Oryzias latipes: one gene and its partner. The protein of the gene in region 1 interacts with the protein of each later gene in a pairwise test. Links are inferred from orthologs where the notes say so. Each region holds a gene or a part of one and is shown on either strand. Other genes may lie near its edges. The genes, in order: prkcz and partitioning defective 6 homolog alpha.

Region 1 (4,344 bases):
GGTTGAAATGACAAGTTACTTTTTCGTTAACTTAATTGGCTGGTAATTTCCTTTTTTTGAGTGCTGTTTTGGGTCAGGATGCAGAACCAAACATTTCCACAGACGCTGAAGGCCCATTTGCATCTGATCCACAACAGCAAGAAACATCAGGTTTGCACATCATTTAAATTACTAGTGTAGTAGATATGATATGTATTTTTATAGTCACAGTGTGAACATAATTTCATGAAATGTATGATAATCCATACTGCCTCAAACATTTATTTATTCACAATATATGTGACTTTTTTAGGATTACAAACACAAAAACATCCACATCCATTACAGAGGCTTCAGTGGATGAAGAGCTGCCCCCTGACCCACTAACTGCCCCTCATGACTGACAGGAATCCAACACATCTGGTTTGCAGAGGAGGAATTCAGGTTCCATCCACATTTGTTTCTCTCAAGAATGAGAATGATAGAGGAAGCTGCCATCAGCAGTACTTCAGATGAACTTTAGTTAGTGGAGGAGAGGAGAAAAAACGTGGTTGGTGTACTTAAAAAAAAGGTTCTCGTGTTTTTGCTGCAGACCTTTTTCCAAAAGGAAAATGAGTTTAACAGACCCTGGATTAATGCCAGTTCTTTGATCACCTCACATGACAATAGATCCTATCCACTGCATGAAAACTAGAAAAGAATTAGATGTGAGGATAAGAAAGCTTAAGCTTATCAAAATGTTCCTAAGATCATCCAAGGCTCAAGATCAGCTACCTGGTCTGGTAGCTCTAATCATCAACCACTGAGAAACTAACAAACCAGGGTTTGACTGATGACTTTGCCCGTATTAATGCAAGACTGACACATTTTTAGTTTAAGAGAAGCAGACCAAGTTCATAGTGTAAGCTATGAGAATTTTTAATTTAATATTATGTATGTAGCCCAATATTAGCAAAGTTGTCTCAATAAGCTTCAAGCTTAAATTGCACTAGTTGTTAATAGATTTTTTACATGGAGGTCATTTCAAGCCTCAAGCAAACATGTGTGTTGTTATCCTTGTAAGACTTATTGTTACTTTTGGTATTTTTTTTCCAACAGTCCTATAAGCTGTACGAATTTACAAGCCTCTGGTTGCTTTTTAAAATAATTGTTAATAGTGAAATATTTGAACCATAAAGTAAACCATAATAAGCTGTTGTACTTTTCTGGGTAGTAACTGGGGGAAACTGAGGGGCGCTACTGGTGTGGCTGCCAGAACCGCCACTCCCGCTGTGGGTCGCAGCGGACCCGCCGCGAGGAGCGGAGCGGGACAGGTGAATTCTGACCCCCGTAACCATAGAGAGCCACAGAAATCTATCAAGCTGCGAAGTGAGCAACCTACAGTTGTGCTTTCAAAATAAAAGCATCGGCCTCTTCCTCAATGCTGCCGCTGCCTATCATAGTTTCAATTTGTCTTATTTTGAAAGTGTGGAGCGGAAATGGCCTAGTAGTTATCGAGAGCTTGACGGCTCCACCGTCTCCGAAGCCTTTAATGTTTCTGCACCGTAAAAAAACTTCAAAACCGCTCCGTTAGTTTTCTTTCCGGAAGTTTCCTCCCGGGTCCGCGCGGGATAGTCGCGCTGAATGCCCCGCAGCGACCCGCAGGTTGGGTTCGTCAAAGTTTGGGCCTGTCCCGGGACTTTCAGCAAACTGCGGGATGGACGCGCTGACGTCGAACGGATCCATCATGGACCTGGCCTCTAAGGTGGTGAAGATAAAAGCGCACTTCCGCGGGTAAGTGACCTCCTCCGGCGCGTGGACACCTGCGGAGCCAAGGCGGCGCGCGGTGTAGCGGGCCGGGCCGGGCCGGGCGCGCGGGCACACCTGCCGCCACAAGAATGAGTAAAACAAAAACACCGTTTCTGACTTTCTCACTGCAGGAAAGTTAAATAAGTCCACAAGTGAAAGCAGTGTGACCTGCTGGTCACCAGAAATATCAGACACTGAAAGGTTTGATGGACTTTCGGTCCCAAAGCCTCCATTCTCCTTCAGTTCGGGACATGAAGGTGAGCGCCGCAGTGGCTGATGGGTGGACTCTGACAGCAGGAACCCCAGAACGGTTCCTTCAAACCTGTCTGAGGAACTGGAGGTTCTTCACCCACGCAGGTCAGAGAACAGGTGGAAGTGAAGCAGAAGGACGTCACTAACCATGATCTAAAGGGAGACACGTGAACGCCTCTCCCAGTGTGTGTTCATCTGAACAAACCAGTAGTTGATAGAAATGAGTTTTATTTTGCTCTAGTTCAGAGGTGAACTTTCATTTCCTGTGTCTCCATTGATCTTTGAGCTTTGAAAACATCCCTCCTTGTGGTTTTAATGAGCTGTAGTTGTTGTGGGACCAGCGGTTGCCGGGGCGACCTGCTGCCTGGACTGAAGTTCATTCTTGCAGTGAGGAGTCCGGCTCTCCCTGTCACCTGAAGCTGAGGGGGAGGAGAGCTATTCTGATGAGGAGAACAAACATGATGAGTCTGGAACTAACCTTTAGCTTTGGTTCTCTATCCCACACATGAGGATTGAACAGGAAGTCTTTAAGCATCTATATTAAAGCAAAACTAATCATTTTAGTTCATATTTGTAATAAATCTTTGTTAATGATCCAAACTATTGACATATTAGATGTTAGATGCTGGCCTCCTATGTAGACAAGGGTCATTTGGACTAGGGCTGGGCGATATGGCCTAAAAATAAAATCTCTGATTTTATACTTTTTAATTCGATTTTAAGATTTTTCCCCCCGATGTCCCCCCCCCCCCCCCCCTTACTTAAGGAAAGCAATAAGTACAAACGGCAGACAACTTAAAGCAAATTTTGCTTTTATCTAATCAAACGCAAGACAAATGTAACCCCCATTTCTGGGATGAATAATAAGTACATGAACACACTCTTGGAATCAAAGTCCCAGCTGGGTTTTAAGTCACACTTTGTAGTCTAGACTAAAAGGAGACAAACATTCACCTTGAGAGTAGCACCATTTTCTAAAGGATTAACATTACAGCTCACATCTGGGATCTAAGGTTTTAATTCAATTAATAAACCCCGTCTTCTCCACGGTATCTATGGGTACCATCTCTTTGGCTATATGCCACCGTGCCCCTTTCATAGGGATGGGTACCGTGCCCCGGTATTGAACGAGCCCCGGGGCAACATTCTTCAAGACTGCAGTATCGTTAAGATCTGACCTCAACGGTTCTGCTATCTGTACTAGAGAAGTCGCATTTTTTCTGTGTCCCACAAGATATAAACAAGAGCTGTGACGGTGTGGGATTTTTTTTTTTTTTTTTTATAACTTTATTTATTGAACATTTTCTGTATTAAACAGACATACAGAGTGTAAAATGAAATGTAAAAAAGGCAATGTGTAAAAATAAACACTCACATGTCAACCCGTCCCACCCACCCCCGTCAACAACCCCCAGAGGCCAAGTCAGACACAAAAAAAATAAATAAATAAATAAAATAAATAAATAAAAAATAAAAAAGTAAATAAATAAAAAACACAAACCACTTGGGCTTTTTTTTTTCTTTTTTTTTAAAATAAGAAATACGTCCAGAAAAAAAAAAAAAAAAAAGAAAAAAAAAAAGGTAATTAAATACGTAGTAATAAGTGAGAAAACCAGGGTAACAGCAGTGGCTTTTTGTTGCACTGGTGCTCAGTCAGCCTCCAGATTGTGAGGAAATGTCAAGGAGTCCACATATTGTAGGAAAGGGCTCCAGGTCTCATGAAACACCCTGAGTGAGCCATGAAGTGAGTACCTAAGCCTCTCAAGTTTGAGATTGTAAAGCACCTCGCGGACCCAGCGGACATGCGAAGGGGGACGGGGGAGCTTCCAGTTCAGCAGGACCAGCCTGCGTGCTAATAGGGTGGTAAATGCAACGGCCCGCTTTAGTGCACTCGGCGTGTCTGAAGTTGGGGGGAGACCAAATATTGCCGACATGGGATTTGGTGTGACGGTGTATCTGTAAGCCCTCGTTAGTGTATCAAATACATCTGTCCAAAGAGCTGCGATCACTGGGCATGACCAAAACATATGGGCATGATTGGCAGGAGAGAGATGGCATCTGCTGCAGGCATCACTAATAGAAGGATAGATTTTGGCCAGTCTGGCATTGGTGTAATGGACCCTATAAACAATCTTACATTGAATCAATCTATGGCGGGCGCAAATAGAGGACAAATGGACAAGAGACAATGCCGACCTCCATTGTTGTTCCGTAATGTTAAGGTTTAGACCGTCTTCCCACGCAGTTTTGACAGTATCGGACGGCTTTGAGGATGCTGTCCAAATTGACTTGTAAACGCTTGAAATGCATCCATTAACAAAAGGG
Region 2 (4,588 bases), on another chromosome or scaffold:
AAGGTGAAGTATGGAAGTGGAGGATGGAGGGTGGGGGATGAAGGGTGGAGGGTGGATGGCGGAGGATGAAGGGTGGGGATGAAGGGAGGAGGGTGGAGGATGAAGGGTGGAGAGTGGAGGATGAAAGGAGGATGGTGGAGGTCCTCTGGGTGCTGCTGCAGACATGGAGCCTTTCGTCCTAGGATGGAGGATAAAGGATGGAGGATGAAAGATGGAGGGTGGAGGATGGAGGGTGGAGGATGGAGGATGAAGGGTGGGGGATAAAGGATGGAGGATGAAGGATGGAGGATGAAGGATGGAGGGTGGAGGATGGAGGGTGGAGGATGGAGGATGAAGGGTGGGGGATGAAGGATGGAGGGTGGATGATGGAGGGTGGAGGATGGAGGATGAAGGGTGGGGGATGAAGGATGGAGGGTGGAGGATGGAGGGTGGAGGATGGAGGATGAAGGGTGGGGGATGAAGGGTGAAGGGTGGGGGATAAAGGATGGAGGATGAAGGATGGAGGATGAAGGATGGAGGGTGGAGGATGGAGGGTGGAGGATGGAGGATGAAGGGTGGATGATGGAGGGTGGAGGATGAAGGGTGGGGGATGAAGGATGGAGGATGAAGGATGGAGGATGAAGGATGGAGGGTGGAGGATGAAGGGTGGGGGATGAAGGGTGGGGGATGAAGGATGGAGGATGAAGGATGGAGGATGAAGGATGGAGGGTGGAGGATGAAGGGTGGGGGATGAAGGATGGAGGGTGGATGATGGAGGGTGGAGGATGAAGGGTGGAGGATGAAGGGTGGGGGATGAAGGGTGGGGGATGAAGGATGGAGGGTGGATGATGGAGGGTGGAGGATGAAGGGTGGGGGATGAAGGATGGAGGATGAAGGATGGAGGATGAAGGATGGAGGGTGGAGGATGAAGGGTGGGGGATGAAGGATGGAGGATGAAGGATGGAGGATGAAGGATGGAGGGTGGAGGATGAAGGGTGGGGGATGAAGGGTGGGGGATAAAGGATGGAGGATGAAGGATGGAGGGTGGAGGATGGAGGGTGGAGGATGGAGGATGAAGGGTGGGGGATGAAGGGAGGAGGATGAGGGATGGAGGGTGGAGGTCCTCTGGGTGCTGCTGCAGACATGGAGCCTTTCGTCCTAGGATGGAGGATAAAGGATGGAGGATGAAAGATGGAGGGTGGAGGATGGAGGGTGGAGGATGAAGGGTGGGGGATGAAGGGAGGAGGATGAAGGATGGAGGATGAAAGATGGAGGGTGGAGGATGGAGGGTGGAGGATGGAAGATGAAGGGTGGGGGATGAAGGGAGGAGGATGAGGGATGGAGGGTGGAGGTCCTCTGGGTGCTGCTGCAGACATGGAGCCTTTCGTCCATACACTGTGAGAATAGGGGTCGAGCAGGACGCTCTTTCTGCGGTCGGTTATTGGGTTCTGGGTTTCATCCATGTCGGTGCCTGAGCCTCAGGTGTGCTGCAGGTGTGAACTCTGTCTGCAATCCTCCGGCGGGAGGGGGTCGGGTTCGTCCGGAGACAGCAGCGACATGGTCCCGCCCCCTCCGCTGAGTCCTCCGGGCTGGTCGGGGGTAGGGTTGGGGGAGGGGGTACCGGATTTACCGGACTCCACCTGTCACGATCTCTGCGCTGTTCATCTGCGCGTGCACGCATGCGCGTCTGGTTGGGGGGACGGGCGCGCGCAGACACGAACGACATGGAGCTGACCGAACCGGTTCTGGAGCAGGAAACCGACAAGCCTGCTGCGCGCTCTCGCCGCCTCCTCCATGGTTAGACTGGGGCGTTCAGAGGAGGAAGCAGCCGTGTCCGTCCCGGAGGACGCTTTTCCCCGCAGCCGACCGGACCGCCGCGGAGCAGCATGTCCAGAGCGTCGCAGAGCCGCACGCCCACCCGGGCGGCGGAGAGCGTGGTGGAGGTCAAGAGCAAAGTGAGTGCGCGGCGGGAACGGCACCGAGGGTGGGGCGCATCCGCGGCGGAACGCGCGGTGCGCCTCCACCGCTCCGGTTCACGGTCACGCGCCGCAGATCCACAGAGATCTGGCGCGTGGATCGGTTCTGCTCTCGGTTCTGTTCAGCATCATCCGGGTAGAGCAGGGCCGGATCCGCTCATTCCAGAGCCCCATGGAGGCAGACATGGGGCCTCTGTGGATGAGCAGAGACCCCCCCCCCCCACACACACACACACACAGAGTTCTTTTAGCAGAAGCAACAACAAAACCAAACATGTGGAACTAAAAAAGAAGCCGGATCAGACAGAGAGAGTCTGAGGATGTTTGTCTGTGAAACCTTCAGGGAAATGAGGGATTCAGTTTCTAAAAGCTTCACCTCTGGTTGGTAACTTTCCTCTGGCTCTGTGATGCTTAAGGATCAAATATTTGTCAGGGTTTCCATAACGGTTTGGTAAATGGAAATAATTTGGACTTTGGAAACGGTTCTGCTAATTGTCACTTTGGAAAGGATGTTATTATTATTGTTATTGATTATTATTAAAATGTCACCTTAAAACATTGGAGATTAGAGCTGAAAACAGCAAAAACTCCAGTAAAAACTTTGTTTATCCATCAGTCAAAAACAGAAAATTCCTAATCTTTTGGGGGGATTTTCCCTCATCGTTTATTTTTTTGTCCCTCATCCGTTTATTTTCATTGCTCAGCAGATTTTTCTTCACAGATCTTTCTTTCCTCCTTTTCATGGCTAAATCTCAGTTTCTAAACACTTTGTACTTTTAAAAAATGAAGAGACCTTTTGTCAGATTGTAAAAGCTTTGGAGGTAAATCGTGTTGAAGAGCTTTACTTGTCAACATTTAGCAAGTGATGGAGGTCTGCGTCTGTGTGTGTGTGTGTGGGGGGGGGGGGGGGGGTCTGTAAATGAATGAGGAACATTTCAGAGTCAGGCTGTTTCCAGCTGTTACTGCTGGGTGTGAGCTGGTATGTTCAGGAGCCAGTTTAATGGCAAAAATAATCCATATTCATAAAATATGAATGTTGAAACCTTTGGGCTGAACCCCCCACCCCCTCCCACCGGCAGGGTGCTGGTGTGTTTTGGGTCCAGACGTCCAGTCAGGGAGAAGTTGTTCCTTTTGGTGGATGCTGTCTCTGGTATGACATTGTGCTGATATTATGGTCTGTCTCTGTCCTGAAGGGGTCAGCAGACAGCCTCAGATCCTCTGAGGAAAGCTTGGAACAGGATGTCCCGCCACGTGTCCTCTATTTAAAGTGTCGTTTTCGGAATGAAAAGACACTGACTGAGATAAAGGGGACTCAGGATCTGGTCTTCCGAGTTCACACAGTCCCCTAGCGGACTCCGCAGACCTTCTCCGTCCTGCTCATGACACGCACATCTGGAGGCGTCTGTGGGCATGAGGATTTGGTCGGTCCATGTTTTGAGAGCCAGATGTTGTCCTAAAAGCTGCAGAGCCGTAGAAGTCAGAGAAAAGCGTTCACAGCTGGAATTTACAGCGCTGTGCTCACCTGTCAGTGCCAAAGAACTGTGCTTATGTGGCCCAAATGTGTTCTGCTTTTCTTTTCATGTTGGCTGTTTGTTTCTCATGCGCAGGTGAGGGACAGTTGCACTAACTTCATCCCTGTGTACATAAAGACGTGCACGCTGGTGCACATCTGCTGGCTGCTAACAGATGAGCAACAGCAGGCTCATTCCAGCAGGAGATGCAAACTTGGAGTCGACTGAGGAGCTGTCAGCGTTTTTGTTCTTCATGAAGGCTGTGCTGATTCAGGACAGCTTTTTGCCCAAGTCCAGGCCCGTCATCTACGGTGCCAACGTCACGCTCAGCTGGGATGAGTAAGATGGCTCCAGCGTGTACACAGAAACAGCTGCCCATGCTTCAGTGTTTCCTTACACATTATTTTTGTAAAGTCTTTACATGACAAATGCAGTTTGTTCCAGCTTGTCGTGTTTTTCATGCAAAGCACAATTTTCCATAGACTTCTCTGGGAAATCAAGGAAATGAGGAAAAACGGAAGACAGAGAACTAGAGGGGAAGTGCCAGTAAAAACATTCAGGAAAATGTCTTTTTTGCAGTGAGCATACAGTCAGCTGTGGGATCTAAGTACAGGCGTATGCAGCAGCGTTCCCTCTGCAGGTCATTGGTTCTGTTGGGTTTGTTATGCACAGTACTACAGTCTTATCTGAATGATAAGACTTCACTGATTCTGTTTTTAAATCCATGCAAAGCCTAACCTGAAAAACATCTGTAAGTCTAAAACTGTCAGGAAATCTCAGGAAGAGGCACAGCTAACAGCCATTGATAACCATTAACCATTGAAATCCATGATATTGAATCACAATTAATCATATTAGCATATAATAAACTAGCTAACAAGTTCAAGATCTGAAATAACCTCTAAATTCATCCAAATCGTATCCAAAATTAAACAACCATTGTTTCTTGATTTTATCATCCCTTCCAGGCTTCCATACATGTCTGTCTCATTGCTGTCTGCTGATTTCAGCAGCTGGAAATGGAACAAACATTCAGATTTCTATTAAAAAAACTGCACCCCAGCACCCAGTTCCCCCCCACCCCCATCTGCTGCCCTCTGATTGGTTGACAGGCCTGTCATT

Evidence for each region.
Region 2: the proteins of prkcz (region 1) and partitioning defective 6 homolog alpha interact in binary tests that used the Homo sapiens proteins (3 or more experiments, as listed by UniProt). The link is inferred for Oryzias latipes from reciprocal best matches to the Homo sapiens genes PRKCZ and PARD6A.

What each region holds. Positions count from the first base shown.
Region 1 is NC_019865.2:32,864,543-32,868,886, forward strand, and holds the start of prkcz (protein kinase C zeta type), read left to right. Parts: upstream 1-1,463; 5' UTR 1,464-1,675; coding exon 1,676-1,752; intron 1,753-4,344. UniProt on the Homo sapiens protein: Calcium- and diacylglycerol-independent serine/threonine-protein kinase that functions in phosphatidylinositol 3-kinase (PI3K) pathway and mitogen-activated protein (MAP) kinase cascade, and is involved in NF-kappa-B activation, mitogenic signaling, cell proliferation, cell polarity, inflammatory response and maintenance of long-term potentiation (LTP).
Region 2 is NC_019864.2:4,759,258-4,763,845, forward strand, and holds the start of partitioning defective 6 homolog alpha, read left to right. Parts: upstream 1-1,545; 5' UTR 1,546-1,865; coding exon 1,866-1,934; intron 1,935-4,588. Other genes in the region: putative proline-rich protein 21, read right to left, coding at 1-1,442. UniProt on the Homo sapiens protein: Adapter protein involved in asymmetrical cell division and cell polarization processes. Probably involved in the formation of epithelial tight junctions.